Rhinolophus ferrumequinum: one gene and its partner. The protein of the gene in region 1 interacts with the protein of each later gene in a pairwise test. Links are inferred from orthologs where the notes say so. Each region holds a gene or a part of one and is shown in the gene's direction. Other genes may lie near its edges.

Evidence for each region.
Region 2: the proteins of EGLN3 (region 1) and FOXJ2 interact in binary tests that used the Homo sapiens proteins (3 or more experiments, as listed by UniProt). The two-hybrid records come from large-scale screens. The link is inferred for Rhinolophus ferrumequinum from reciprocal best matches to the Homo sapiens genes EGLN3 and FOXJ2.

The regions. Positions count from the first base shown.
Region 1 is NC_046289.1:82,389,589-82,405,954, reverse strand, and holds the start of EGLN3 (prolyl hydroxylase EGLN3), read left to right. Parts: upstream 1-8,601; 5' UTR 8,602-8,963; coding exon 8,964-9,320; intron 9,321-16,366. UniProt on the Homo sapiens protein: Prolyl hydroxylase that mediates hydroxylation of proline residues in target proteins, such as PKM, TELO2, ATF4 and HIF1A. Target proteins are preferentially recognized via a LXXLAP motif.
Region 2 is NC_046293.1:24,679,810-24,695,693, reverse strand, and holds the start of FOXJ2 (forkhead box protein J2), read left to right. Parts: upstream 1-8,375; 5' UTR 8,376-8,507; intron 8,508-11,667; 5' UTR 11,668-11,701; coding exon 11,702-11,741; exon of another isoform or gene 11,742-11,846; intron 11,847-15,553; coding exon 15,554-15,884.

The DNA.
Region 1 (16,366 bases):
AACAAACAAACAGAAAAGCTGAGTTTTGATAGGCACCATGAAGGAAATAAATAAGGAACTGAGATGGGCAATGCCCACTTTTGATAGGGTAGTACGGAGGGTTTTTTGAAGAAATAACATGTAGGAAATGATAAGAAGCTACTTCATGAAGGGTAGGGAAAAGGGTATTCCAAGGTGAAGATACCATATGCAACGTTGGTGAGGTAGGAAAGAGCTTGGCTTGTTTCAAGAACTGGAAAAAAAGTAGCCTGACGGGATCACAGTGAATGAAGAAGATGAGGCACGATGATGAGCTGTTTCTCAGGGCTTCATGGGTCATGTTGATAAGTTTGGATTTTTTTTTTTTAACTTTTTTATTGGAGAGTATTGGGGAACAGTGTGTATTTTCCCAAGACCCATCAGCGCAAGTCAAGTCATTGTCCTTCAATCTAATTGTGGAGGGCGTAGCTCAGCACCAATTCTAGTCGCTGTTTTTCAATCTTTAGTTGCAGAGGGCGCAGCCCACCATTCCATGAGGGAATTGAACCGGCAACCTTCTTGTTGAGAGCTCGCATTCTAACCAACTGAGCCATCTGGCTGCCCCTGGATTTTATTTATATTTTTTAATTTTTATTTTATTTTTTTTAGATTTTTATTGGGGAAGGAGAGCAGGATTTTATTGGGGAACAGTGTGTACTGTTCCAAGTGTGTACCAAATCAAGTTGTTGTCCTTTCAGTGTTAGTTGTGGAGGGCGCAGCTCAGCTCCAGGTCCAGTTGCCATTGCTAGTTGCTAGTTGCAGGGGGCGCAACCCACCATCCCTTGCGAGACTCAAGGAGTTGAACTGGCAACTTTGTGGTTGAGAGCCCACTGGCCCATGTGGGAATCGAACTGGCAGCCTTCGGAGTTAGGAGCACAGAGCTCCAACCGCCTGAGCCACTGGGCCGGCCCCCCTGGATTTTATTTTAAGTGCAGGGGTTTCACAAAGGAGAGTGACACCGTCTTATTTATGTCTAAGGAAGATTGCTCTGACTTCTGTGTAGAGAATGGACTGATGTGGGCAAGTCTAACAGTAAGGAAACTTGACAGAGACTGTTGCAGTAATCCACATGGGAGATGGGTTTGGACTGATGGTGGCCATGGAGACAGGGAGAAGAGGAGTGATTGGAGTTAAATTGGCGGTAGAATTGACAGTTGTTGGTGATTTGATGCAGGAACTGAGAGTACATAGGTGAATCCGTCAGTGTCCAGTTAGGAAACAGAAACCATTCTAGGTGTTTTAAACAGAGGGAATTTAACCTAAGGAAATTAGGTTATCTGTTAGAATGGTTTTGACTACTAATAGTTACAAAAGTGTTGGAAAAGTTGGAGAAACAGAAAGGGGAAGGTGTGGTAATCTCAGGTGGGCCTCTGCAGGAAGCCAGGACCACTCCTACGGCTGGAGGAAAAAAAATAAGCGGTGGTGATGCTATCAGAGCCCAGATGTGTCTGGCATATGACACTGTGTGAAGCTGCTGATGCTATTGCATCTGGGCCACTAACCCAGGTCACTGATGCTGGTGCTGGAACTGCTGAGGCTACTGGAGCTCTCGGCTGCTGTTCCTGCCACAGACACTGCCAGAAGCTTTGTGTTTTGTTTTTTTTTTAAAGGAGGGTTCTGTCCCTCATTTCATCCAGTTTCCCACCAGTGCTTCCCACTGGCAGCGTCAAACTGGGCCAGCTGGCGACGGAGTCTGGAAAAGGCAAGTCATCGGATTCCAGCCCCCTTCCCCAGAGCAGAGCAGAGAACGGCGGGAATGGTACTTAGTGCCAATAACCCAATGAATCCCATAGTGTTTAAAAGTATATATTTCTTTCTTTCTACAGCAGCAATATGTGCCCACTAAAGAAAAATTTAAAAATATGTATAAACAGAACATTAAAAACTGCCATATTCCTACTTACCCAGAAACAATCATTAATAACATCCTGGGCTCGCACTCTCTCTCTTTCTCTCCCACTCCCACTCTTTCTCTCTCTCTCTCTCTCTCAAAAAGGGATCCTTACTCTACTTTCGGTTTTGTAACCTACTGTACTAAATTTCTGCAATAAAACATTTGCTGGACATTTATTTTGTTCCAGCTAGCTGCCAGTGTTGAATATTTATGTTCTACTCAACATTTTCCTATCATAAACATAAAAAAGGAGTTATTGCTTGAAAACAAATTTGCAATTCAAGAAAACAGTTTATAAAGAATCAATGGTAACTTCCAGTTTTGACTATTATGAGATTATTTGCTTAGGTAGAAAGATAAAGTTATTTTAAACATAAGGTAAAATGTCAGGGCTTTCCCTACCCTGTTTATTTCCTTTGTTGAGAAGAAAACACTCTTTGTAGAATTTCAGAGCTGGAAATGCAGTCCGGAGGTGGAGAGGAGCTGTAGCTACAGACTGCACTGCAACCGTTCTGCCCTGTCGGTCTCCATGGAGTCAGACTTCTGATAAGAAAGGTGGTCCTCTGATATGTGCAGAAGCGGTGATACCACGACAAGGTGATACCATCACAAGGTGTGATACCAAGACAAGGTGTCTTTATTATGGCCACAAGGCAACTGTTTCTCTGATGTTATGTTAGGATGGTTTTGACTGCTAGTAGCTGAAAGCTATGACTGAAATTGGCTTTATAAATGAAGAAATGTATTATCTCACATGACCGGAAGTCCAGAGATAGGACAGCATCCTGCATTAGTGGGATAAGCTGCTTAGTGATGTCACCAAGGTCCCAAGTCCTTTCAACACTCTGTCCCACCTTTCTTGGTGTTGGCTTTATCCTGAGTCTGGCTCCCTTCATGGTGACTAGATGGCTGCCGGGGCCACAGAACTGCCTGTTTCCTTTCTACATGTTCGGCAGGAAATAATATAAATTCAATATAAATTCTTTTTTCTTTTTAGTTCAAGCAGACCAGTGGTTCACAGTACTGCTGTATTAAAATCAGCAGGAGTGCTTTAAAAATTATTTATTTATTGCTATCATTTCATTTTTGTTTGTTTATCTGCTATTTTATTTTTTGACTGCTGAGACCTAGGCTTTGTCTCTAGAAATAGTTATCAGTCTGGAGTGGGGCTTAGCTGGAGGTAGTTTTGAGGAGCTCCCAAGCGATTCTAATGTACAGCCAGGGCAGAGAACCACTGGATTAGGCTGCTTTAGGTCACCTGGCCATCCCTACCTAGAGGAACAGTTACCAGTCTAATACCATGATCTGATTGGCTGAGAAAAGTGGAGCTCAAAGTGTGTTCCTCTTCCCCTACCAGCAGGAGCAGCTCCTGAGAATCTGTTAGAGACTGGCAAATTATCTGGCTCCACCCAGACCTACTGATTTAGAAACTCTGGGGGTGGGGTTAGCAATCCGTGTTTTAACAAGCTTGCCAGGTGATTCTGATAGACACTGAAGTTTGAGACCCACTGCCTTAGACTAACTTAGGCCAAGCTACTTCTCTGGAGCCAGGGAGGAGACACATATGTGGACAAAAGCAGAAGTGTGTTGGGACAGTGAACCCAAGGCACCGGAGCCTTTAGCACTCCCTCCTCCCAAAACCAGGCCAGAGAGGGGAGGAGAGGGATCAGGACCTGAACACTGGAGACCCCAGGCTGTATGGAGAGGACCTCCCAATGGAGGTCCTCTGACACTACAATGGGCTGTTAGGAAGGAAGAAGGCATGTTCTGTTGGTAACCTGGGAAATCTCTACAAGTTTCTACAGGAGCTAAAGGGCTGAAAAGACTGACTTCGGACATGCTTTCCTGAAAACATTGTAAACTAATTTCAACCACTGTACAATTTCACCAGGCTCCTGGGAAAGGAAAAGACTATGAGGTAAAAACAAAGGAAATCTGAATACAATAAGGATTTTAGTTTATAATGTATCAATATTGGTTCATAAATTTATGACAAGTACCAGGCTAATGTCAGATATCAATAGGGGAAACTGGGTGTAGGGAATATGGGAACTCTACATAAATCTTATCAACTGTAAATCTAAAACTACTCTAAAATAAAACGGTTATTTTAAATAAGATACATTGAGATGTGAAATTCTAAGGAAACACCTTTGTAAAAGGTGTTATAAAATTAAGCATCAAAGTTTCCTTAAAATACTCCATGTTGATAGAAACAACACTGCTGTATTTTTTATGATTGAAACCATGTTTTTTTGCTACGTTTTAAGTCAGAGCAAATGCTTTTTAGACATTTTCAGTTTAAACAAGAGTTGAATTGAAAAATATTTATGAATACTTCTGATATCTCACACTTCCCAGAATCTGTACGTGGCCAGACTTATCAAAGAGCTAACGAGAGAGACTTAAACTTGTCCATATTCTTAGAAATAATTAAGAACCAATGTAGAAAGTCACTTTCTTTGCCATCCCCTTAGACCTGGAAAGAAGGAGATGCCTGGACACCACAGGGAATGGGACATAATCAAATGCCTCTTTCTCTAAACCCAATTCCTAGCAGTGAGCTCAAGCATAAACTCCCTTCAAGCTCTGTCCTTTTGTTTCACCAGCTCCATTTAAATTAAACGCACTTCTTGTGTCCTGAGGGGTGAGCCATGCAACCCAGCAGGCTGAGGTATAGCTCATTACCACAACTACTCTCAATAGACTACTTTCCATAGACAGTACATCACTGGAATATGCAATTCCTAGAAACACTGGGCCATCACTGGATTGGAGCAAGGAACCAGTCCTAATTTGTAGTTTGGAAGATTTCTATTAATATAGTCAGCTAAATAATTTATGGAAAGCTTTGCTTCTCTCCGTTTTCCACCAACTATGAGTAAGGAAACTGTTAACTACAATTGTCATTGCAAGTGAGAGTGTTATAATTAAGAGTTATAACAACAACAGCAAAAAAGAGTACTTACGGGCAAAAACATTGTCAGGCTAAGCAAGTGGCTCAAAATGATTTCCCCCCTGATCTTGCCACATTGGAATCTCTCAGATTCTGTCCATCATTGTTCTACTCTCTCACTTTGTGAACTTGGACAAGTTCCTTAGCTTCTCTATGCCTCATTTTTGTCATCTTCACATTGGGGAATAATAATAGTACCTATTTCTTGGTGGTGTTATAAGAATTAATCGAAGTAATGTTTGTAACACTTTCAGCACACTGCCTGGAATATGGTGTTACAAAAGTGTTTGATAAATTAATAAATAAGCTAGTCCTTGCCCATGTTAGAGTCATTCAATGTAATGATAAATCTCTTGAGGTATAGCATGGCAAAAAAACAAAAAGGAATATTCAGGGAAGGAGCCTCAGGCATGGCAGGACATTGAAGGGGCAGGAGAAATGTAGACAGTTTTCATGAGAAATAAACAGTGTGAGGGAACCCTCCCATGTTATTGGTGGGACTGTAAAATGGTGCAGGCTTCTGGAAAACAGGCAGTTCCTTAAAAAAGTTAAACATAGAATTACCACATTACCAAGCAATCCCATTCCTAGGTATATATACTCAAAAGAATTGAAAGCATCTTAAATAACCAAGAGGTGGGAACCACCCAAATGTCCATTAGTTTATGAATGGATAAACAAATGTGGTCTATCCATACAAGAATATTATTCATCCATACAAAGGAACAAAGTACTGATACATGTACAACCTGGATGAACCTGGAAAACATTTTACTAAGTGAAAGAAGCCAGACACAAAAGGTCGCACATCCTCTGATTCTACATATAGGGAATATCCAGAATAGGTAAATCCATAGTGGCTGAAAGCAGATTGGTGGTTCTCAGGGCTGGGGAATTGGGGAATAACTGCTAAAAGCGTACACGGTTTTCTTTTCGAGTGGTAACCATGTTTTGGAATTACAGAGTGGCAGTGGTTGCACAACAGTGTGAATGTACTAAATGCCACTGAATTGTTCAGTATAAAAGGGTTAATTTTATGTTTTGTTAATGTTATCTCGCTAAAAAAGCATAGATACCGAAATAGGATGAGAGTGAGTGCCCTCTGTGTTCCAGCAGAGAAGACAGAGTGTTCCGGGCTTCTTCTTCCACTCACCAGAGCCTTTATTTGAGAAAGTTACCTAACGTCGTGCCCCTCTGGGCCCTGGTTTTCTCATCTGGAAGAAAATGAAGTTGGACTTGGTGACTTCTAGGACCCCGTTTGGTTCAAATTCCAAGATAAAGAAATTTAACATCCTCCTTTTCTCCCTGTCTCCTCCACATGCTTGAAAACGACTGCATGTGTCCTGCAGATGTACACTGGGAAGACAAGGTTGTTGTAATTCAATTACAGGAAAATGAATTTGTTTTCGTTATTAATATGAAAAGTATCTTAATATTATTACAATGACACAAATTAATGGACAAACAACTGAAACAAATGCACTTTAACAATTAGCTTGGGGTTTGCCACTCTGATGTTCAGGCTCAGAGCCCGTGCGTGGCTCCAGCCTGTCTGCACCCCTCCGTGTAATCACACACTGTGCTTTTTGCCAGTCACGGTATCTCATGCTCCTCAGCCAAGTGCAGTGCTGGCAGCTCCAGGTGGATTGGGAGGCCCTTGATTGATTGATCGGTGCCCTTGCCAAGCAGGGATGGCAGCAAGAGATTGAATATCCTTCTAAACTGCCTGCGCTTTGCAACCAAAATATATAATCTAGAACAGTTTACGGCTATCAGTCCCTAGAATTTGCTTGTAGACTATTACTCTGGTTACAACTAGACTTGTTAGAACTTTACAATTATTGAAATATTATTTGAAGAGTAAGCCAAATTTACCCTGTCCTGGGATTTCAAGCCTTGGGTCAACATACAAGAATTCATTCAGGGAAGTGGGTATGTAATTGTCTGTATTTTACTCATCACTGCATGACACTGCCAGAGCTGAGCAGGGCTACTGAGGATGGGACATTGTGGACATCACTCATTTGTAGGGTCACCAGGAGTCAGAGCTGACTCAATGGCACAAAACACACACACCTCCTCTACCTGCTACTGCAGATTTTCCGGTCCTGTGTAAATTCCCTTCTAATTATTCCTAGGAGTGTCAGGTGTATCTGCAAAGAACCTTCAGCTAGAAAAATTTCAGCCAGCTACCAAGGTTTATCTGTCATTTCCCCCCTTTTATAATTCTGGCTTTCTGTAGGAATATTGAATTCTGAGGTCAACAACAGTCCCTAAAGCTGCAAAAACCAAAAGCCCCTGCTTACCTGGGCACACATTGTTAGGCACCTAGAAGCTGCTAGGTGCTGGAGGTGCAAGGATGTGAGCTCTTGGCATCATGGAGCTGCTGTGGGAATTTAGACAGACCCTTGAGGCAAACCTTTACCCTAGTTGTGTACCTCTGGCTGAAAGGTCATACCAACGGTGCCAACTAATTACCATCTTGGCAGAGAACCTCCTCGAAATATAGCTAGAAGTTTCACCAGAGTTTCCCACTGACTGCTCCTGTTGAACGTTCCTCTATCGCGTGCTTCTGTCTGCTTCTTTCCATCATGTAGCAGCAGTGCCCCTTTGCTATTCTACTTTTTGTTCTTGGTTGGACTGCATTGTATTCTTCCTTTCATATTTCTCCCCTTAGATGCAGAGAGGAGAGGACTGTTGGAAGGAGAATAAAAGTGAAAAAGCTGTATGGGATTGTGTACAAAATAAACGATACCTGTAAAAACTGTATATTCTTTTGATCAACTTAAATGAAACACCTGAGTGCAAGCTAATGTAAAATTAAACAATACGGAAATGGCTTTACATGCGATTCATGAATCTTTTCTCCCCCCCCCGATTTTGATCTCTGGTGCTCATTATGAAAGGGAATGAAAACATCCATAAAGCAGTCAACTTACCTTCGGATAGCTAAAAAATCATCTAGGCAATGTCTGTCCCTCCCATGTAATAGCAGCTCCTTGTGGGACAAGTGAGATAAGAGACCTAGAATATAGTCTGTCTTTTGCGGGACATACCTATACTGGCTGTTACATGAGCACGTGATTAAATTTGAAAGCAGGATTTCAGAACATTCATATTTTAGTAAACTTGAAAGATATGTAGATGAAAACAGCAGAGCAAAATCCAGTATTTTCAGGGTTCAAATATGATCTAGCATTTCTTCATTGTTCACATCCCCCTTCATTGAGCACAGACGGCCTTGAACATAGTAGGGGTTAGAGAAATGTTTGTTAATTTTAGTTAAAACTGTATTCCTCCCAGTCTAGTCTGTCAGTGGCTTGAATCTCCTGACCTGGGTCAAACAGCAGAGGAAAGGAGAAGGAAAGGCACCAGGTAAAGCTAGAACGAGATCATTGTTTAATATATTTTATTTGTTCCTGGGTTATGTTGTTCAAAAACTTGTGAAATGACCAGCCCGGAATGTGGCAGCAAATTGTGCTGTTGATTCCATTTACATTTTCAGAATTGGGATTCAAGTTTTCAAGTTTGTTCTGGGATTTTATGCAAAACATATGCAAATCGTAGCATTCTAAAAACCCCGTCAGTTCTCCAGCCCCGCCCCTAGTCACAAACAACCGCGTCTGGCGCGGAGCCCGTCGGGCTCCTCCGCGGAGTGGTAGACCTCGCGGGGGTGACCGGCCGGGGGGAAGGGCTGTCCCGGAGGCGGTCCCAGGGCGGAGCCTGGGCGGGGCCCGTGACGTGCTGAGTTGGCCGGCTGCCGGGCTGGACCTCAGCCTTTCCCCGCCTGGGGCCGCCGCGGCACCATTGGTGGCTCCGCGTCTCCAAAAGGGACCCTCTGACTCTTCGCTGGGCCAGTACAGTGCTGGGTCGTGGAGCTTCGCACAACTCCCGCTGGTCGCTGACCGGGATCCCTCCTCCCCAGAGTTGCGAGCAACTTTACCCTCTTCCTGGCGCTGCAGTGGCTCGCGGACCTTGGCCACCGCAGGTAGCTGAACCCGGACGACGCTCCCCGCGCCTCGGCTGCGCGCGCGCGTAGGTCGCTCTCTCTCTGGGTGCACGCTGGGGGTCCCCGAGCTGGGCTCTGCGGGCGAGATGCCCCTGGGACACATCATGAGGCTGGATCTGGAGAAAATTGCCCTGGAATACATCGTGCCCTGTCTGCACGAGGTCGGCTTCTGTTACCTGGACAACTTCTTGGGCGAGGTGGTGGGCGACTGCGTCCTGGAGCGCGTCAAGCAGCTGCACAGCAACGGAGTGCTGCGGGACGGCCAGCTGGCGGGGCCGCGCGCTGGCGTTTCCAAGCGGCACCTGCGGGGCGACCAGATCACGTGGATCGGGGGCAACGAGGAGGGTTGCGAGGCCATCAGCTTCCTCCTGTCTCTTATCGACAGGCTGGTCCTGTACTGCGGGAGCCGTCTGGGCAAATACTACGTCAAGGAGAGGTCCAAGGTAGGACGCGTGCGGGCGCCCCGCCGCTACTGCAGACGGGGGGGACCTTGGGACCGGGGGCATTCGGAGTCCGTTGTCTGTCGCCTTCGCAGGGCTACAAGCCAACTTTAGTTTTTAACCAAGAAGCAAGAAAGAAGTCAGTTTGTCCTCCCCACCCCCCGTAAAAATCCATGCTGAGGGACTCAGGTGTATAATTATAGTGGCCTTCTGTTAACTTTGAAATAAGGCTCTGGTGGGTGGTACAAGTCGGAAAAGCTATGGCTTTTTGGTCTGATTTTAGGAATTGGGGTTCTCAAAGGTCCAAACGAGGGACAGGTTATTAGAAACGTTGTGTTTGATCTGAGACACACGTGAACTCATCTTAAATGTCTGCTTTAAAGTCACCTCATGCCCTTTACTGATTTCAGAGGGGCTTCCTACCAAAGCACTCAAAGAAGCTGGAGACAGTTGTGATTTTGCAGTGTGGCATTTGGTTTGTGGAGTTTGGCAAGTGTGGGAAGAGTTTGCCCTGTGAAAGGGTAAAGCTCCTCTTCATTTTTGAGTGCTGCCCTTGGCTTGTTGAACCCGGGACACTTCCATCATCTACTTGATTGTGAAAATTCTCTCCTGGTGCCGAGCCTACACCACCAACTTCCCTTTCTTAATGCAGTTGATGGGGAATCCACTTAAAACAACCAGTTAAGCAATCCAAAGAGTAATCAATTACCTCTGGAAAGAAACCGTATTTTTGTTCACATAGACACATTTTGACTTGCTGGGCGTAAGTTAGCTTGGAAACATTTACAGGTAGATTGGCAGAAATATGGCAAAGTGTAGGACCATGATATTGGTGCACGTAGATTTCTTTGGGGTAGTCTAGATCCTCACTTTCTTTTACAGATGATCCAGCCAGTTTTCCAGTGGCAGTTCTGAGAATGATTTGCATTTCTTTTACTGTGGACTGGTCAAGGGGTATTCAGAACTGTAGAAAACTTGAACACAGTGAGGCAAAACGTACTAGTGTGAGAAGGAGGGTGAACTTTCTTCTGTGTACCATATATGTAACATTTCTGAAGTTAAGATTGATCCTGTAGTACAACATACCATTGTTGTCTCATTTGTCCCATAAGCTGAGAGGAGCACTCTTAATATAGGGCAAGGGGTTAAGACTGGAAATGTGTAGAAATGAAGGGGTTGGAGTGGGCAAATGGAATAAAGGCAAAATGGATTGTTGTACATCTTTCAAGCTAGGAGGACATGAATAGAATATCTGAAAGCATCATTATTAAATGGACACAAAAAGTAAGTCTTAGAAGAGCACGCTTTCTAACTTTTACTTTGATGTGGGGAAAATTCAGCGTTAGCTGGACTCAGTCGAAGATGGACATTAAAGTGTTTCTTTTCTCTTCCTCCATCATTTTGGTGATGGATTAGAATGCTGTTTGTCTTGATTGGTCTCGTTTTTTTTTTGCATCTTGCCTGTCTCTGGGGCGGGGTGGGGGAGGGGAATGGCTCGCCTCAGTATTGCAGATGTACTGTGGTAGCTTCAACCTGAAAAAGCAGATGGCTTCTTAACAGTTTTTTAAACTTTCTTTTAAACTTAGGTGTTAGGAATTTCCTCCACCAGCATTCTGGGAACAGAATTTGTTCTGAGGAAGATCAGAATTAATTGGTAGAAAGAGGTCACTAACATATTTGAACGTATTTATTTAGCTTTGACTATGAACAGTAGTAAGGTTTTAGGCTAGAATTTAACTCCACAAATTGAATGAAAAGCACTGTGTATGTCTGGATAAGGAAAAAAGATCTATAGATATTTTTCAATTATGGATTATCTTCTAGGTAGAACAAATAACTTTTCAGCTAATCCTTTCAGTTAACAGAAGGTGACTGTGAATGGAAAACAGAAAATTCATCTTTTGTCCACTGAAGAGACATCTGTCCATACCAAGATTTCTAGCTCTCCTTTGGTTCTTTTGGCACAAAACTCTTCATTCCTGCTGTTTGGAAAAATCACCTCTAGATTGGGATATTCCTTGGCCAATTAGAACCAAATGCAAACCAGGCTTGAGCAAACAATTATTATAGTAAAAAACTTAAAAAAGTTTGATTTGCTCGTATCCAGAAGTCTCTTTAGTAATGCCTTGTGACCTTGGATCTCTTGTTTGAAGTTTATTATGAAAGCATTGCCGACACACATTCCATTTCTACATGATTTATGTTAGTTTCACCTTAATTTAACCTTCTTATTTACTTCTCTTCCTTCGGCTGAGTGCTTTATTCTGTTCTGCTTCCCAGAATAGTGATATAGACCCAGTGTCCTGCTGCATCCCTCAAGTGGATTTTCAGCAAAAGCTGAATTTTTAAAAGGCAAAATATGTATGTTGATTTTAAAAAATCTATTTGTAACATTTTATTTTGAAAAATTTCAAACATATGTAAATGTAGAGAGGCTAGTATAATGATTATTTCAACAATTGCCTATACAGTTATTTATTTTAGACCAACTGTTTTAAAGGTACCTTAACTTTCTTGGGGTTATGCTTATTAATGTATTGATCCTCATTCAGTAGTTTTCTCCTGGATTTTAAAAGGCCATTGAATAATGTAATAAAACCCTTTATCAATGAAGCAATAGCAAAGGCATTGGGAATAAAATACAAATATATACTAGAATTGAAATTGAAACTGTGGAAGAGTATGGAAAGAAATAATAAAGGTTTCCCCCTTCTTGCCCCAAAACTTATTGCTGGTCAGAATTTATCTGCCTTCACTGTTGGAGAAAAGTCCTAGGGTGCTGAAGACTCTCTGGGAAGTGGCTTCTTATAATGTAGTACAGCAGTATGGCGCCCCCTAACTTCAAGCATGATCACTGCTTTCAGACTATCAAAAGATTTCTTATCTGTTACTCTCTTTTGGAGAATTTAGACCATCTCCAAGATAAATATTGGTTATAATTTGCTCCTTTTGCTTTGGCTGCCTAGATCTTGAAAATGGCTGTTTTCCAGAGAACGCGTAATTTATAGAACCAGAAGTCCTTCTGCTTGAAGCATCTTACTGATAGGCTCACTAGTTAGTATCTCTAATAATAATAACTACCTTTTAATGAGCAGTTTGCTCTGTCTGGCACTGTGCTAATGAGCACTTTACAAATACGACCTGTCTGACTTAGTCTTCAGAACTACAATCTTTAGCAAACTGAGTGATGAAATGGTTTGCCCAAAGTCACAAAGTCAGTGGTAAGAGATAGTTTATCATAAAGTTTAGGGGCTTAGGTTGGGGGTTACTAACCTGTGGTCTCAGGTAAGTTGCTCAATTTTCACCGAGTGTTAAAATGAGGGATAATAATACCATAAAGCTTTTCAGGGGAAAGAGCATGAAATAAAATGATGTACTTAAAATTCTTAGCGGAATTCTGAGCTTTCATCTATGTTACAAGACTGTAAAAAGTTTGGGATTCTAACCCAGTTCTGACCGACTCCAGAGTTTGTGTTCTTGACTATGATGCTCTTCCTTTTCATCCTTTCATTTTTCAGCAAATGCTCCTCAGTGTGGGGTACTGTGCAGGGGTTGGGAATACAAAGGTGAACAGGCATAATCCCTGCCTCATGGGGCTGACATTCACTTTTGAATTGTAGGATCGTCTAGTTCACACTTGATTAATTCTCAAGCCTAAAAAAGAAAAAAGACAAAACCCAGACAATGAAGTGGGTCAATTAAGTACATTTGAAGAAGAAAATGGCGTGCTGTGCTAATGTTTTCCTACTGTTATTGGCAGGAAAAGTGTTTATTAAAAAGGTTGGTTGTTAGGATCCCTGACTGGAGTAGTTCTGGAAGATGGGGTTATGGGGCTTGTATTGTGAACAGACAGATCAGTCTTCCCTTTAAAACAATGCAGAGACATGATGAAACAGCAATAAGTTATGAATAAAAGAAAATATGTTGCAAAGTGGTGGGCTTGTTCCTTTGCTGTTTAGCAATAACAGTTTTGGTGCAGCCTTCTCATGTGATGTTAGAACTATCCGTTACACAGTGGGGTATTTCACGGTTGCAAACCACTTTAAGCAAAAAGGAGATCATAGTTTTTGAAAATCAGGATCTCTCTTAGGATCCAGGTGCAGGGAACGCAGTCATGGTTCACAGAAGACAGGAGCTGTGAACTAGGAACCAGAAAGTCCTTAACATCCAGGACAGCTGGTGTGTTAGTTTTTTCCCTCTGGCGCTTTATGGCCTCCATCTTTGCTTCTCTGCTGGTGCCCTTAATTTCTTCCCCTCTCTACTTTCCATCCAGTTTTTGCTGCTTTTCCGTGCACATGGCTCAAAGTGGCTGCCCCACAGCCTCAGTTTGAGATAAATAGGCACTTGACCAACATTCTAGAATCCCTGTTTTCATTCCCTAGGAGAAAGTATGATGGTCTTGCCTTGCCTCAGGGGACCCATCCGCCTTGGTTGCAGGTGGTAGTGGAGCAAGTAGAATCATGTGTCGCAAATACGGTTGCCAGAGCCCATGAGAAGTGCAGTACTTAGAGCATGGGGTTTGGGGACTAGACATTGTCAGCAATTAAAATCTTAAAAATCTATCTGTCACTGAGGTATTTTAGGGGGAGGAGGCACTGGAACATCTCTCTGTAAGGATGTGAGGGATTCCTATAAAAGGTTTTGTGTTAAAAATAACTTAGCTCTTGGAGGAAGGAAATTAATCCAAGGAAATAATATACAGAATACAGCCTCCGTGACAATGAAGCAAGTTTCTCCACTGGGTGGTTTTCATAGTGTTCCTTATCTATTTTGTTGAATGACACTTGGGAACAAAGAAAAGAAGATTGGTGTGTGTGTATGTGTGTGTGAGTATGTGTATGTGAGTGTGTAAACTTTATCATTTCTTTTGTTCAATTTTGGGCCACTGGCCACTCCACTACAACTTTATCTTTTTGCAGTGAAGTGGGAAATCAGGGAGGTATTAATTTAATTTATTCATTGACAAATCATTAAATGTTGTGACTGGGGGAAAGGAGGTGGAATGTGATTATAAAACCACCTCAAGAAGCTGAAAGTTGAGTGGTATGAAATAGTTGCCACCAACTTTGCTTTCTCTTTTTCTGGTTAAACAGTCTACTTTTCCATTGATTAGTCATTTGTTTCTCTTCTTTGGGCTTTCTCCAATTTCTCTATTTATTTAAAATTAAGTGACCAAAATAAGTGACCAAACTACATAGGACTTTAATGATGCAAGTTTTTAGAGCTAAGAGGTATCAGAAATCACATCTATCCAATCCCTTAATCATTCAGCAGTTTTTATGTTTGGAGAGATGAGGTTTTGCGCAGGCCCTTGAGAAAGGATTGGGGTGAGTCTTGGGCCTAAGCACAGGTGCTTTAATAGAGAGGGGCTAGCCTAGCTGGGGTTACCCCATAAGTCAGGTAGACTGGGAGACAGGGTTGGTAGGTTAATTCAGCTGTATCAGCATTTTATTTGGGAATTTCAAATAGAATTCTAACTTAAAACACCCTTCGGTGGAATTATGCAGCCTACCTGTGCATTCGACTTTTGGGTGTCATGAATTATTTCCCTTTCTGGCCTCTCTCAGCCCAGTGCACATTGGTACATTCTTTCCTGATTCCTGATTCTGGCTAGAAAAATTTCAAATTCGGTAAAGAACAAGCAGCCATGCATGTTTCAACTCCTTTCTGAAAACATACCACTTATGGAAGACTTCTCAGGTGAAGCTTAAAGGTAGGGGTGGAGTTTTATCAAATCATGAGCAGAGCACCTCTGAGAAGCAGCTCCAAGCACCCCTGCATCTTGCATTTCATTATGAAGATCCGAGGGCACCTCGCCTACGGGCTGTGGGCTGCCGTTGCTCAGTTTGGCAAGACCTCTGCTTTTGACTCACTTTTGTGGCCTCAGGTAAATTAAGTGACATTCTGACCTGTGCGTATTGAATACTAAGGAGCAGCGTGCAGGTTAGCAGTATGGAGAAGGTTATTAATTCTTTGTTAATTATTACAGCAACAGATTTGATCATTCCTTTGTAGGAGCACCTGGTCGCTGTTAAGCAATATTGCACCAAGAAATGGGTGTCATTTTTCTCTAGTGTTTGTCAAATGCACATGTTGTTCTGACAGTAATGACAGTTCAGATGTATTCTGCTGGGCAACTGCCAGGGGTGCCCAATGGGTAGCTGAATCCAGAGGCACTGAAATTGTAAATGCGACAGACAAATCATTTTATGATGCCAGACTAAGGAATTTGGCTTTGGCAGATTGCCAGGAGCCGTTGATTTGGCTCAGATTCAGAGCTATGTGTCTGTTTGCCAAGCGAGATTAGTTAGCTTGGTTCATTATACATAGAATTTGTACCTTGTTCCCCTTGATGATTTAAATCTTAAACCAGTATGGCACTTACCTTAATTTTATATCTTCTTTTGATACTGGGATTTGTGGATGAGTTCCTGTTTTTGTTTTTCAGTGAGCTGGTAGTGACTGTTATATTATCCACCCCATGCGCCAGCCCTCTCCCAGCCTTACAGACACACTGGGTTGCAATTGTATAATGCAGGCTTTCAGATCTCTTGTTGGATTGATACCGTACCTACGTACTGAATATCCTCCGTGTTCAGTACAATGTTAATACCTCTTTATTAAGTCAAGCCAATTTTTGATTCTTTAGGAGATACAATGATCAACGTTTCTCAATTTCTGGAGTGAATGTACCTATCTCATTAAATATTGTTTTTCCTTCCAAAATGGGGCTAACATATTATCATCATGTAAAATTAATTCTAAAATACAAAGAATCAAAGAATATGACAGAAGTCGTGATTATTTGCCAGTGGGAAGAAGACAAAATGAAAAACTCAGTTCCAGGTGTCAGTGACATCTATTTTTGGTTCTCTAGGGGAACTTGAAATATTCAGGATAATACTACTCTTCTATTTGAGTATTGGTTGGAAGTAGTAAAGATATACTGTTTACAACAGTCTGAACATCTTTGGACCTTGCTCTGTGTTCTCCAGACACATAGAACAAAGAATCTGTTTGTGCCCCTCCCTGCGTTTCCCCTCCTATTT
Region 2 (15,884 bases), on another chromosome or scaffold:
TCTAGAGAGGAAAGAAATGCTTGATTGCTGTTTCACAAGAGGGTGTTAGGGGAGGGGAGAGAGCAGCTGGGCTCCAAGAAAATTCTTTTAAGGTCTAAGAATCTAGTATCTGACTCAGTGTCTCATAAGTTTTGCAGCTTCTTTTATGCATTTGAGATTAAGGATGAAACTAAGGAACATTACATGGTAGGAGAAAGTAAGGCGGGATTGGATTACAGGATAGTTAACAAGATTATGTGGTCTCTTGAGGGTGGTTATAACTTATTTCAAAGGTGTATTAACCTCGATGCACACATGCTGGAGGGTTGGGATCTGTGATTAGGAACAATGACAGTTTTTTTTTTTTCCTTCCTTAGATTTGGAGCTGGGGTTTAACTTCCCTCAGAGACAATTTCTGCTTTGGCTTATTGGGCATCATCAAAGGGAAAGTGACTGCTATCTGTGCATGAATTATTAACCTAAAAATCATTTTGTATGTTTCCACATAATTCATGTAACAGTAGGAATGTGGATGAAAAATGGGGTTCTGTGGAAAATAACTTCACAGGGTAATTTCATCATAAATTGCTAAGTGGGCGGTCATGGTGGGTAGTCATGCACCCCGCATATAACTTCTTTAATAAAAGGTTTCTTTCTGCCTAGGTTAATACACCTTTGAAATGCCTCTTTTCAGACCCATCCTTCTAAAGCAGGACCACCCTCAAGAGATCTTAACTTATAATCGGATCCCTGCCTTGCTTTCTCCCACACTCATGATAATCTTCCTTACATTCCCTCCCTAATTTCAAATGCATAAAAGAAACTGCCGACTGTTATTCTCTGGAGTATTTGATATCTTACTCCCAGGCATATGGCATCAGTTTGGCTCAAATAAACTTATAAAAATTCTCTACATGTTTGGACATTTTTTACATTGACAGGAACAAAATGCACTTCTCTCTCATGAACACAATCCTTAAAAATTTTCTCAACAGCTCTGTCTCTCCCCACCTCTGCCCTTTGGCATAAGCAACATATACCTTATTATGCAGAATTATTTGTAGCCTACTAATAATTTTCCCATGGTACTTTCATTATTGCAAATATAGCTGCCTCATATTCCTCCCCTTATTTCTAAACAATTGTCAAAATGATACTGAAGAGCAAGGATGATATATTCTCTTGTAAAGGATCTGGCTTAGAAGATCATAAAAAGATGGGATCGCTTCGGGTAAACACAAGACATCTGTTACTGAATCTTGACCCATCGCTCTTGCAGGGTCCTGTAGTGGGGATAGTTATTATGCTAATGGGAAGTTCTTTCACTGTTCACTCAGTTTCAGAGCACAACTTTTATACCATGTTAAAGCATTAATGAAGTCTAGCTATAAGACAAAATCTAGATTTGGAAAACAAGTGTACACCTATGCTGGGAAAAAAGTGATTCCATAATTTATAGTATAGATGGTATTTCTCAACACTCAAATAGTACGTCCTTCCTACCTTTTAATCTCAGATTGAAGGTTAAACACGCTATTTTCCATTCATTGCTTGTAGAGGACATCTTTTCATCTAATCCCAACTGTCTTTTCAATCTTTCTAGGTAGGCAAGTTGAGGGGAAATCCGTTTTCAAATTTTAAAGGCCTTGGGTTTTCAAATTTTAAAGAGAAAATGGTAGCATTTTCACAGGTAGGCAGCTTCCCAGGTATATCTACAGCACAATTTCTGGCTGGATTAACCCAGGTGGTGAGTGTGAAACATTTCTCCAGGATCATAAAATTGGCACAGATACCTTTAAAAACATATTCTAAAGGTCTGGCATCTTTAAAATTTGTCCAGTGTATTTTATAAAAGTCTTCTCATTCTGGTTTGGTTCAGATCACCTACTATGTACCCCACACTGCCAGGCACCAGATATACCATGAATAAAATACACTGTTAAGCCATATTTAGGCCAGGAGCAGAAACCTTATCTTAAAAGCCATCGTGTCTTGATCCTGTTATGCTTTATATCCTACAAGCCTGTGATCAGCGGGTCTGGGTGGTTCTGACGGCAATCTGGGGCCAGGGTGTGGAGCTGGAGGGCTAGGTCATGCCCTGAAACCCTTTGTCAACAAAAACCCCCTGAAACATTGAAGAGGGAACAGCCTGGTTTACCCCCTCCTATAAAACTCCATAGCCCTCTTTGCTTGGGGAAGTTATGGTCTTTTCTAGCCTGACTTCCCACAGTTCAAACACGCCAAATAAATTCTAATAGACCAATTTTGGTCTCCCGCAACTCCTTCCTCTGGCCTTGCCTAACACACTTTCTATCAAAGGAAGTTTTTGTATGTGATTAATGCCCGTCCTTCAGACAAATTTTTACAGTTCCTTTACCTCACCCACCCTCTCCAGTTATTTTACGAGGTTTCTTTAGGAACCCACCTGCTTGGATCCTGTGATCCAGGGTCGTCATCCTTAGCTTTCCATCAGAGGGCCTCAGTTTCCCTAACCTTTCCTAAAGGCAGGGTTAAACCCCGTGCTTTCCCTCTCCTCCGTCTCATTCATTCTTTTAGGTAACAAGTAACTAGAAGTCTGGGACCAAAGGCTCATAAGAATTTATCATGTATATTCCAGAAAGCAGGGTATACGCAGACTTCTTTGAGTAAACAGGAAACTATCAATCCCATGCAGGAAATGACCTTGTTTGAGGGCAACGAAGGTGCCGCCGGTTTTCCTTTTTCCTTCAGTTTCCTTCTAAACTCATTTCCGGGTTTCAATCAATTTGGTCCTCACTACAATAAGAGTCCAGCTGGCTTTTCCAAGTCCCACCCTAGATAACGTCCCTCCCTTGTTTTACATCGCTGCAAAGCTCAACCAATCAGTAGTTGGGGTAGGAGGTACCAAAATAATCTTCACTTCCTCCCCAAATAGCCACTCCCCACTCTTGCGTCATTCTGATAGATTACTGAGGTAGCCAATCAACAAGCAACCTTGGGCCCAGCCTACCTTAAACCCAATCAATTAAAATGAAGAAGGGGAATTGGGGCGGAGAATGAAAAACTTGCCCCTCTTTTGGAAATGGTTTGAAGAGGTGCGTCCGCACCTCGTGAACTTAGATTTTTCGACTAGCGATCATAGCTTACTATACATCTTAAATGCCCCAGTTCTGTCCCTCTTCGACCCCACCCCAAGATGAGCCCCACCCCTCACACCCTTCCCCTCCCCCAATTCAGTGGAACACATCCCTATCCTGAATCCTCCGGAAAAGAACCAAACCCCATTGCCACGGGCTTTACACGCTCCTCCCCGACTCCGTAGAGTAAGGAAAGGGAGAGACCCTACAGCCCCTGGCGACAGTCTTTCCATTCAGTGCGTCTCTCCCTTCCCCACGTTCCCGAGTAGAAGCTGACACGGGAGTGGGAGGAGCTGAGTGCTGGCTCTACTAGGGGAGCGGCTAAAGCTTCTTAAGGTGGAACGGAACGGTGAAGTGGCTGGGCCTCAAAACAACCAGGGTGTGACGTCCTCCTGCCTCTCAATCTCGCTTCCCACAGTTTCTCATCTCTGTTCCCTCGCCTTAGTTCTAGTCTTATTTGTTATGAAGAATAAACAGGTTAGATAGAGGATATAAAGTTAAATTAATAAAACAAAATAATAAACAAGTAAAGGAAATACAAACCACAGAGAACTTTTCCTTTATCATTTAATTTCTTCTGCTGTGTTCTACTTTTTTCCCCGAGATTGCTTTCTAAAGTAGCTAGCTAGAATTTCTCTGATGTGCAAATGTAAGCTCAAATTTTGTCTGATAAATCTAAGTGAATCGTTTTGTATACTGTTTATTCTCTCCCCAGTGAATCTGACTACAGTCAAGGAAGCGAGGACCTTGCGTGTAGTGGCTGGAGGTATCTTTTATCCTTTTACCACCGGTCCCTATAGCTGAAAGAGTGGAGGTGGCCTTGGCAGTGTTGGCTCTGGCTCTGTGTTCTCATTTGTAAAATGGGGATAATAATACTTACCTCCTAGGTTTAGTGTGAGTACCAAAACACATAGTGTAAATGAAAATACGGTGTGATCTGAAAGGTGTAAATAAACATTAGATGATATAAATACAAATCATATAATAATAAACATTTACATTGTTCTTGCTATGTTCCCGCACTTTTTGAACAGTATTTTAAAAAACTTTATTTTGTAAAACTTCAGACATACAAAAGTAGAGAGAATAGTATTATATTTTGTAAAATGTTGAAATAAGCAACACTTGGCCAAGCTTTCATCATCTATGCCTTTCTCCCCCATCACTTGATTAATTTGAAATAAATTTCTGGCATTTCATGACTGACTACGCCTGAACGCAACTTTAAAATATAAAGATTCTTAAATAATCACACAATTCCATTAGCACATCTAAAATATAACAATATTCTGTGATATCACAAAAATCAGGACTGAAATTTCACCAATTGCTTCATATTTGTTCCAGCTGCTTTGTTCAAGTCAGGATTCCCCCCCCCAACTGTCTACATATTGCATTTGATGGATATGTCTCTTGATCTGTATATATTACATTTGCTTTATGTGTGTTTTAAGCCTCTTTTAATCTCTAGGTTCCCCTTTTCTGGTGCACTTATCTAAATGCATCACATGCATGAAGTCACACAAACCCTCCACAACACTATGAAGTAGGTACTATTATTATCCTCATTTTACTAATGAGATGTTGAGTAACAAAGCAGTTAAATGACTTAAATTCTCAGTTATTGAATGCCAAAACTGGGATTTGGATACATGAATCTTATGCACTATACTATGTTTCATATAATACACTGGTCTTTAAAAAATGCTAACAAAATGTATATTGTGGCATATTCACCAATATTATGAAGAAGCATTTTGCTCAAGGTCGGCTGACACTCATGTAGAATTATATAATATGTTCTGTTATAGAGAAGGGTGGATCCTTACATTTTGATTCCTTGCATGTTTCAGTGACTATATTTTTGTTCTGCTTCATTTCACCCTCCTTAATAGAAAGTAAAGGGAGAATGAATGCTAGTGGTTCCCCGTCTTAGGGCAAAACCAAAACCAAACCAACCTTATAGTTTTTTTTTTTAATTTAAAAAATTACATGAGCAAAAACCATACAAACACTAATTACAGATATAGTAGAAAATGAGGTATAAATTAAAATAATCTTGAGGCTCACATCTTTGGTGTCTATCCATCTATATATGTATATACACAAATACATACATATACATATACATATTTTAAAGAGCAACTGTGTGATCGTATTATACAAACTTTTAAAACATTATTTTCTCACTGGAATATATTCAGATAAATGAAAAATAATTGGTTCTTTAAAATAACACGTGCCTATCGCAAAATATCTAAACGGTGAAGAAGATAGAAAAAGAAAAGCGAACTCCTCACTAATTCTACTTTCCAAAGTTAAATACAATTACTACTCTTTTAAAAGCCAAGTAGTATTCTACTATATAGATATACCATAGTTTATTTAACAGTTACCCTATTATGGACATTTGTTTCTAAATTTTTACAGTTGCAAATAATGCTGCAGCAAATATCTTGTATATATCAAATAAGTTTTTGAGGTTTTTATTTTTCTAAATTTCCAGAAAAAGAGATTCTAATCCTTCCCTAGCTTTCCCATTTTTTTTAGTACTTCCACCTCTCTACTCTTGCCCCCCAAATTCCATATACATACATAGAAAATGTCAAAAAGCGTTGAGAAAAGAAGCAAAACATCTAAACGTATACTAGCAAGAAACATTTGATGCCGAATTATCTGTGCGTGTGGGAGGAATATGTTGATGTTTCAAAGAAGGGGGAAAATACAGCTTTAAAACCTGATATTGGAAGGGTAGGGAGAAAGAAAACGCTTGACTGGGATTCACTTCTTTTCAGTTTAAGGATGACTTTATCCCCCTTTTTTTTTTTTATTAGTTTCAAATGTACAATACAATGTAATAGACATTTATCATTTATATCCCTCACACAGTGATAACCCCCCTAAGGATGACTTTTGATTCTGACAGCTAAGGACAATGGCACAGAAGTGAAGAGCTGGGTCTTTAGGGTCGTTTGGATTTGTTAGTTTAAGTCCTGACTTTGCTACTTACTAATCATGTTATTTAGACATAGTCAATATCTCTAAGTTATAATTTTCTCATTTATGAAATAGGTATAATAGTGCCTTATTGGACTTCCAGAAGAATTAAATGTAGTAATACATGCAGAGTGCTTAGCTCAATGCCTGGCATATTGTAAATATAATGTAATTTTATGTATGTATAATTTAAGTAAAATATAATATCATATTTAGCCAGAAGACAAAATACTTTATCTAAATGTGAAATGTAGTCAAGCTGTAATCTCGAATATGCAGACTTTTTTTGAGCAATTCAAATATTTAACGCATAGTATTTTTGCTGTCATATTATTTTATGTGATAGAAAATACAGGAGAGTGAGAAAAGTTGAATAGGCCAGAGGATGCAATATAAAAGTTTGCAGAGGAATAATGTGACTCCAAGAGGAAAAGTATAGGTGGAGTCCGCTCCCTGGTGGCATTTTCTGTCTTGGGTGGGGACTATTCTGTAAGGGGCAGAGAATGAGAACATTCTACACTCTGTGACCAGAATAAGATATGTTATAGGGTCATCAAGCGAAATGAACGAGTCTTATTTTGTATCCTATACAGTTAAAAAGCATTTTCACATAAACTATTTTCTTTGCAACACCCGTTAGTAGACACGGCGAGTATCAAGGTCTTTCTTCTCTTTGCTGACCAAGATTCTAACAAGGGCCTTGCACAACTTTACAAAGCTAGATTTTATGTTTAGTTCAGAGTTATCTCCGTTACACACTCACTTGTCTCTTTATACATTCATTTATTCAACAGTATTGATTGAATTCAAGGATGATATGAGGGTAACTTCACCCCAACCCTCATAACCCTTTATAAACTATCTCAGGGGAAAGAGAAGCCCACCAAAAATATTTCTGTGAAAAAAGGAGATATTTATCTGTACACAGACTACAACAGAATGAAAAAAGAGGTGAGCGAACCAGGATTAGTGTTAACTTGGAATTGATAGTTCGTGTACAGTGTGAACGAGACAATCTCCGGATACAGAGCAGTGGGTCGTCTTGGGTGGATGGCAAGCTGCATGGAGGGAAGTGGACAGGTAGCGGCTGGAGAGCAGCGAGCGGCGCCGCGCGTTTCCCGGGAGCCAGAGTACCTCGGCGCGGCTTTCCTGGCGCAGCGCCCCCGGGCGGCGCAGCCCGCCGCTCGGCGCCTCCCGCTCCTCCTTAACCCGCGCAGGGAGGCTGCGGCGGCGGCGGCCGGGCGGGCGGGGGAGGGGGAGGGGCGCGGAGCGCGGCGCGGAGGCCGGGGAGGAGCCGGGGCCTGCAGCGGAGCCGAGCCGAGCCCGAGCCGAGCCCTGACACTGTCCGTCCGCCTTCTGGCTCCTCGGGAGCCCGGACTGGCCGGAGCCCGAGAGGTGGCAGTGCGGGGAGCCCCACGCGCGAAGGGAGCGGACTGGACGGGACCGGACTAGAGGAGGCGCTGCCGCCACAGTAGCCACTGACGGGAGTCCGGAGCCGCGGCCTCTCGGACCCGGTTGCCCAGGCCGGCCCAGGGAGAGCGGGGAGTACGAAAACCCCACCCTCTGGGGCACCCCAGGAGCGGAGGCAGGAGCGGGGACGGGAGCCGCCTCGCCCTGTGGAAGAGAAGACCCTTACCATCCGGGCGAGGGAAAGAAGAGACCCTTATAGGGGACGAGTCTCTCCTTCCTGGAGACAAGAAAAATCCCCACACTGGCCCGGGAATAGATCTCTAGAAGTAGAAGGGGGCGATCCTTACTAAAGGAAGCAGAGTGAGACCGCCCCGGCGTGCCTCCACCCCTCCAAACACACTCTCAACACTTCGGGACTTTTGAGGCAAAGAGAAAGGGGGTATGCCTATGGAGTAGGCACTCTCCATCCTCTCCAGTAATCACGGGAGAGGAGTCTTACATTCAGAAGCAGAGGACACTCCAGGGAAAGAAGAGGAATCGGCTTTCAGCTTTTCGGGAGAGGGGAAGAACTCCCCCCTCAACTTCCTTGTACCTAGACAGTGGAACAGGGCAGAACCCCTGCGCTTAGATCTCCGTCGGGCAGAAAGAGCTCTCCGCTCCCGAAAGATCCACTTTGGGGGGGAGGGGGACTCCCCCAAGGGGGAGGAGACAGCTCCTGGTTGGGAGAGGCTCCTCCCCTCCTCCCCAGGGTATCAGGCGGAGTGTGGGGGGTGTGCCACCTTCCCCAGGTAGGACCTCCTTCTCCGCCTCCCCCCGCTCCACCTCCCTCTGCTCCTCATCCTCAGGGGACCCAGTTCCCCTCCCCAGCTTGGGAGGCTCAGCCAAGTACAGCAAGAGCCACTGAGGATGAGACTCTTCATCTGCCTTTGAAGAGGGGAATCCCTCCAACCCCTAACTGCAGTACCAGGGGGTTCCCTCCGTTTGCTGGGGGATCCTTGGAGACAGGTTAGTGCATTCTCTCATCTTCTCTCTGTCATCTTTAGGTACTAGTGGGTGTAGGGGAATGAGATGGTGGCTCTTGGGTTCATTACTGGGGAAAGTAGAGTGATAACTCAGAGAATCTCTGGGAAATGTATTCTGAGGAAGCTGCTGGATTGGAACCCACATCTTGCTGAAGAGGCTCTGAGGTTTTTTAGTGTTTGGGACTAATAGGATGGGATTCATCTGAGGTCCCTAGGGAAGTGTATGTTGCCATGCTCACAGCAAAGGGATATCAGAGAATGCCTGCGTTTTCAGAACTCCATTCATACTGTATAGCAATGATTGACATATCCCAACCAGACTCCCATACCACCCTCCATCCTTGGGCCCTCTCACTCCGAGAGTGGGCCCTCACTAAAGTCATGATGGCATTTCATGGCCTGGCCTTGTTTAGGGCTTCCATTGGTATTATATTTTCTTATCTGCAACCCTAGGTCGGCTCCACCAGAGCTGCTCTCTCCAACCCACTGTGATTGCTGCTCTCTTGACAAAAAAAGCAGTCTGTCCCCACTCCCCATAGCTCAGATACCGAGAGGCCTCCTTTCGTGATATTCCCATGTCTGGCTGGAAGCATGTCTCTACCAATAGAATCCAAAGGGATATGGGAGTCCCACATGTCCCGAGACAAGAAGTAAGGGCATAGGGGAATGCCAACTCCTGGGTTGAAGTTCTTCCTTAATGCTGACCCAGTACCACTGCCCCAGTTCCCTACCCGCCTCCTGTCCTTTGCTGATAGTTCCTTAAAATAAAATAAAATAACATAAAATAAAATAAAATAAAGTAAAATAAAATATCAGATCCTGCATAGGAAGAGAGGAGTGAGGAGTGTTCTGCTCAGTCTCCTTCCAGTCTTCCATCTAAATAAGGTGGCCACCAGGGAGATTTGACCTCTGAGGAGTTTCCTTTCATAAAAGCACCTAATAATCATCTCCCTTCCTGTTTCTTGTTCAGTTCTGGGTCTCTGGAACTTTGTATTTAAGTTTTCCTTCATAAGATAGGAGTCCAGAATCTTCAGAAAATGCAGGGGAAAAGTGCCAGGAAATCCTTCTCTCTGAGTCTGGGCTATGTGTTTGGTAGAGCTCTGCCTTTCAACCTGGCATCACTAACTGGGTGCCTGCCTCCCTGCTCTGCCATTAGGAAATATCTTCTGTGAGGGGTATTACATCCCACAGCAAAGCCAAGTAAGAGGCTTCATCTTGCTTGGGATTTTATGTTTTCTCCTCTCCTGTCTGGGCCATGGATGGACTACTTAAGTCCCTAAGTATATCCACTTGGTCCTGGAAGCTACCTGTTAGTAGTGGTATAGGAGTTTAGGAGACAGGGCGGGAACCCAGGTTTGTATGGATGTTTCTTAATTTAGATGAATGTGGCTCTGTATCTGTGTTTCGAGTAGGTATGTAGCTCGAGACAGGTTCATGTGTGCTTTTCAGACTAAGCCTCCAATTACCTAGAGTTACGTGTTTCTGGCAGGACTCTAAAAGCAGGTGCCCCTGTGCAAGGACCTGGGGAGGGTGCTGGTTAGGATACCCAGCTGGGAGGAAAGGTGGCCTCCCCTGGCCAGTGGGAGCCCTCATGAATGGCTCTGTAAAAGTCATCCCAAGCAGCAGGACAGCCCAGTCTCAGGTTGGGACCCCCTCTTCTAGGACTAATAAGAGAGCTTCTTTCTGATATCTTTGATCTCAAAAGCATGAGGATCCTTGGCTCTTAACCCTAGAACTCCCTCCCCAACTTTTTGAAGAGCTGGCTTTGGTGTAACAGCGGTCTGTTTCTTACAAAGTACTTCACCAGCTGCTGGAATGCAACTTGTTGAATGGCTCAGAGTGAAGAGCATCACACCTGCAGGTGTACCACCACCACACAGCTTCCCTGCTTGCTCTGAGGTTCCCTAATTCTCCTTGCCCTTGTGGAATCATTTAGAAGCACATGGCTATGGGGCTGAATGAACTGTGATTTAGAGATACTTAGGTGATATTCCCCCGTTCCTTCATCTTTGGAGTTTACTTTGGAGTTTACTTGGTCCTGGCATTGGTCAGCAATGGGGTGATATGATCCCCAAAAAGAAAGACTTGAGATTCTGACATCCCGAAAACTATTGCAAAGTCAGTATTGCAAGGTAAACCATTGCAGGCTTTCTGCTTCCAGTCTAACCTATATGATCGGTGAGTTTTCTAATTTTTAATTTCAAATATTTTCTTTTATCCCCATTCAAAAATAATCATAGCTACACTTTCTAAGTGCTTTAAAAATATTAACTGAAGGTAATCTAAACAACAACCCTATGTAGGTACAGTTATCATCTCTATTTTGTAGATGAAGAAACTATAACACACAGAGGTTAAGTAACTTGCCTGAGGTTGCACAGCCAGTAGGTAGTAGAGTGAGGACTGAAACTGAGGCAGCCTGAAATGTGGTTAACTTCGCCACTGCTCTATTGATTTTTTTTTTGTTTTAAGATTTTATTGGGGAAGGGGAACAGTGTGTACTTCCAGGACTTTTTTTCCAAGTCATTGTCCTTTCAATCTTAGTTGTGGAGGGTGCCGTTCAGCTTCAAGTTGTGGTCCTTTCAGTCTTAGTTGTGGAGGGCGCAGCTCAGCTCCAGGTCCAGTTGCTGTTGCTAGTTGCACGGGGCGCAGCCCACCATCCCTTGCGGGAGTCGAACCGTCAACCTTCTGGCAGCCTTGTGGTTGAGAGGATGCACTCCAACCAACTGAGCCATCCGGGAACTCAGCGGCAGCTCAGCTCAAGGTGCCGTGTTCCATCTTAGTTGCAGGGGACGGAGCCCACCATCCTTTGTGGGACTCAAGGAGTTGAACTGGCAACCTTGTGGTTGAGAGCCCACTGGCCCATGTGGGAATCGAACCAGCAGCCTTCGGAGTTAGGAGCATGGAGCTCCAACAGCCTGAACCACCGGGCCGCCCTGCTCTATTGATTTTGGCATTATATACAAAGCAGGAAGTTATCACTCCTTAATACCTGACCTTGGTACCATATAGAGAACAATTACTGGCCCTTCAGATAAAATGGGAAGAAAACTGGCTATAATTTTGGCTCTAACACATCTCATCCAGGATCAGTTTTACACTCCAACAGAATGTTTTTTTGTTTTTCTCTGCCTTTCTCCCAGTACTACAGTCTTCATTAGATGTCCTGTGGATGTGATGGAGCCTGTCCTTTGGCTGCCTTTCCCAGTTTCTATGGGTATTTCCTTTCAGTCTTCCAGCACGCAGAGAAGAATGTGGCCTGACTCAGGTTCTGCCCAAGCCCAGTGGCACGAGGCCCACCTGGAGAGGTCTGGGTAACTAGGTTGGTTAGACTGAGAAATGGAAGTATCTCTTATTTGCCTTTCTAATAATAGCCTGAACATTAGCCTCATGCCATTATTTTGGGGAGCATGGAATGTGTGGCCGCCACAAGCTCATTACACTTCATTCACTTCCCTGCAGGGATGAAGCTTTGGCAGTGTTTATGACTTCATCCCTTTTATTGAAGGGGGAAACTGAGGCATCAAGACTTCAGGGAGCAAGGGGTGGCTAGGGACACTTAGTGTATCAGCGTCAAGGTTGGGAATAGAATGGAGGAACCTCAATCTCTGAGGTTCTTCGCACTGGGCTACCCTTGAAGAATGGGGAAGTGACGGGCGTGAGGAAGTGGGATGGGTTAAAGAAGAATGGTGCTGAAAGATCAGAAGGATCTTTTGCTGCAATCTTCTTGTAGCTGGTAAGACGAATATATTTTGAGTGCTGGGGCGGTATCTGGAGGGCTGACTGGGAGGGTGCTGGAGAAAGGTTAAATTTAACCTCAGTGTCCTAACCTGGTGCTGTGGTAAGGATAGGGAAGGACAGAACAACTAGCAAAAGGCTGAGAGTGCTTCCCTTTCGGGAAGTCACAGTTGGCATGTGCCAAATGGGTTCCCTAAGCCCTCTCACTACTTGAAATCCACTCTCACGCCCCTGTCCAATGTTGGGTGAGTTTCTAATGAAATATCCACTAAAGGCTTCTGTGTTCTTTTTTTTTTTTTTTTTTTTTTAAGATTTTATTGGGGAAGGGGAACAGGACTTTATTGGGGAACAGTGTGTACTTCCAGGACCTCCCTTCAAGTCAAGTTGCTGTCCTTTCAATTCTAGCTGTGGAGGGTGCCCTTCGGCCTCAAGCCGTTGTCCCCTCAGTCCCAGTTGTGGAGGGCGCAGCTCAGCTCCAGGTCCAGTTGCCTGTTGCCAGCTACAGGGGACAGGGGGCACAGCCCACCATCCCCTGCAGGACTCGGAGCCATGGGGAGGCAGCCCAGCCCAAGGTGCCGTGTTCAATCCCAGTTGCAGGGGGCGGAGCCCACCATCCCTGCAGGACTGGAGGAATAGAACTGGCAACCCTGTGGTCGAGAGCCCACTGGCCCATGTGGGAACCGAACCGGCAGCCCTCAGGAGTTAGGAGCACGGAGCTCTAACCGCCTGAGCCACCCGGTCGGCCCGGCTTCTGTGTTCTTAAGCTGAGCTTTCCTAGAGAATCTTTAGCAGGATATTATAGGAAATAGGGTAAAACTTCTTTACAGTCTTCCCCTTGTGGGGAGGGCCCAGGAGAACCCTGGTCATTGAAAACCTGCTTGTTGTCATGTTATTGTCCAACTGGGGTAACCCAACTATGGGACCTGGTTACTGCCCAAAGTGCCTGCTTTACCCCAGAGGCTGTGGTGTTTTGATTTAGTACAATGCTAGGAGGTCTGAGGTTTCCTGGAATGATTAAATGCCCCTATTAGTTTCTAAGCTTCCATGGTGGTGGGATGAAAAGGAGGGTGGTGAGGAGAGAAGAAGATAAGGATAAAGGGGAAACCCCTTCCTGAAGCTATTTATAAACATGGATTTTTTTTTCCCCCTTCTTCTATTAAGCAGTTCTTGGGTTGCAGTTGGGTCTCTGATGGCCCAGGCCCCTGAGGCACTAAAGGTGTTTCCTTCAGCCCTATTGAGTGGGCGTGTTGCTGGTGAGGAGCAGGGCAGGGTACTTGTGTGTACCTGCAAAGATTGCATGGGTGGGGACCTTGAGGGAGAGGGCAATGAGCATGAATGCTGACCCTTAGGAGAAAGGGATAAGCGTCAAGGGGAGAAGTCACTTACTAGAAGAGTGACTGATAGCCTGAAAGATGTGTTGGAGTCAGGAGAGGGGTAGGCAGCCATAGCTAGGATGAGCTTTGAAAGGCAAAGTGTGTGGATTTGTGTATAGTTGTATGTATATGCTTGTGCATAGTAATAGTATCTGGGTGTGGATTTAGAGATTACATAGGTGATATGTTTAGGTTCAGGATTCTGAACTCTGAGGCATGCTAGAGAAATGCCCTGTGGAGGGACTGTCCACAGGGATAGGAGGAAGAAAGACTAGTTGGAATCTGGAGGCTGTGCAGGCACAAACCTGTTAGGCAGCAAATGCTTAGGGGGTTGCTGGCATCAGCTCTAGGGGAGTGCCAAATGGCTACCAAGGGGTTCCTGCCAGTCTTTCTAGACCCAGCAATACAAATGTCACCCATCGTTCTTCTCCTTCCCCCACCGAGACCTCACTCCAGCTATAGCTCTCTGCCAGTAAGAGTGCCCAGGCTGTGTGGGTGGAAGCAGGGCGTGCAAACATCAGGCGTGGGCGGTTTGGCAGCACCAGGAGTTTGCATGGAGGTGCAGCGAGCTTGCGTGCGTGCATGGCTGGGAAGGAAGGAGAGAGGAGGAGGGCGGGAGAAGGGGAGCCAGCTCCTAGCCCCAGAGTTGCTATTTTTAGCCAGGCTATCTGATTGTTACCGGTGCGCACTCAGCTGGGTGTCTCCCTGGCTCAGTGAAGCCCAGCAGGCTCAGAGGTGGGAGGTCCTTGTTGATGACTTCTTCCTGGTGTAGGTGTCTGTGGGCGGGAGCTTGCAAAAGGGTAGCTTTCAAGGTGTGAGGGCAGCTGTACTCAAGATCTGTTACCTCTGTGTGTGACTTTGTGCTCTGTTGGTAATGTGTACTGTATAGCTAATTGTGATCTCTGTGTTTGTGGGGTACTGTTTATGTGTTTGTCTCACATCTGTTCTTTGGTGGTTGTCAATGATTGGGATATATCTAATATGCTTCACATGCACGTGTGTGCCAAAAAGGGCAAGTTCTCAAATATATCAAATATGGAATATCTTTAAAAGTGCCAAATATCTTTAAAAGAGCCAAATATCTTTAAAAGTGTGTTTCATTAGTGTGTATTTCTGTTTACTTAGACTTCTTTTTAACATGTTCACTTGTTTTTCTGTAGATGTATGTAAATTATCATGTGTCACATAATTGGAGAATAGACTGACTGATTTTGTCTGCTAAGTGTTTTTTAAAAATTATTTTTAGTTTTAAAATGTTATGTTGTAGAGCTTTAAGTAAGGAGAACAGAGAGAATAGCTGAGTTTGGTGGGTGGTTTGATCTCTCTTTTAGTCCTGCATGAAGGTGGAGGCCTCTTGGCTATATTCCACATTAAGATGTAGAATAAGTATCAGTCTATCATCTGGTAGATGATTGGTGATACCATGTTTTCCCGAAAATAAGACCTAGCAGGACCATCAGCTCTAATGCGTCTTTTGGAGCAAAAATTAATATAAGACCCAGTCTTATTTTAATATAAGACCAGGTATAATATAATATAATATAATATAATATAATATAATATAATATAATATAATAGCAGGTATAGTATAATACAATATAATATAATACAATATAATACCTGGTCTTATATAATATAATATAATATCCGGTGTTATTTAATTTTTGCTCCAAAAGACGCACTAGATCTTATGGTCTGGCTAGGTCTTATTTTTGGGGAAACACGGTATATGCGTTTCCGGGTTCTGGGAATACCTAGTTGAAGGCTGTCCCATGAGTGGAATCTTCTATGGGAATTATAGCTGGAAGAAACTCTACTACCTATTAAGAACTAGGATTTTGGTATTATTTGCTGCCAGTAACCAGAGGTAACTCTCATCTATTCTGTTTTCTTCTCCCCTTTGTCCTCTTCTCTGCAGAACCCAGAAGAACTATGGCTTCTGACCTAGAGAGTAGCCTCACCTCCATAGACTGGCTCCCCCAGCTGACCCTCCGAGCTACCATTGAAAAGCTGGGGAGTGCTTCCCAGGCTGGGCCGCCAGGGGGCAGCCGCAAGTGTCCCCCAGGCTCACCCACAGATCCTAATGCCACCCTGAGCAAAGATGAGGCAGCAGTCCACCAGGATGGCAAACCAAGATACAGCTATGCCACCCTCATCACCTATGCCATCAATTCCTCTCCAGCCAAGAAGATGACCCTCAGTGAGATTTACCGTTGGATTTGTGATAACTTCCCCTATTACAAGAATGC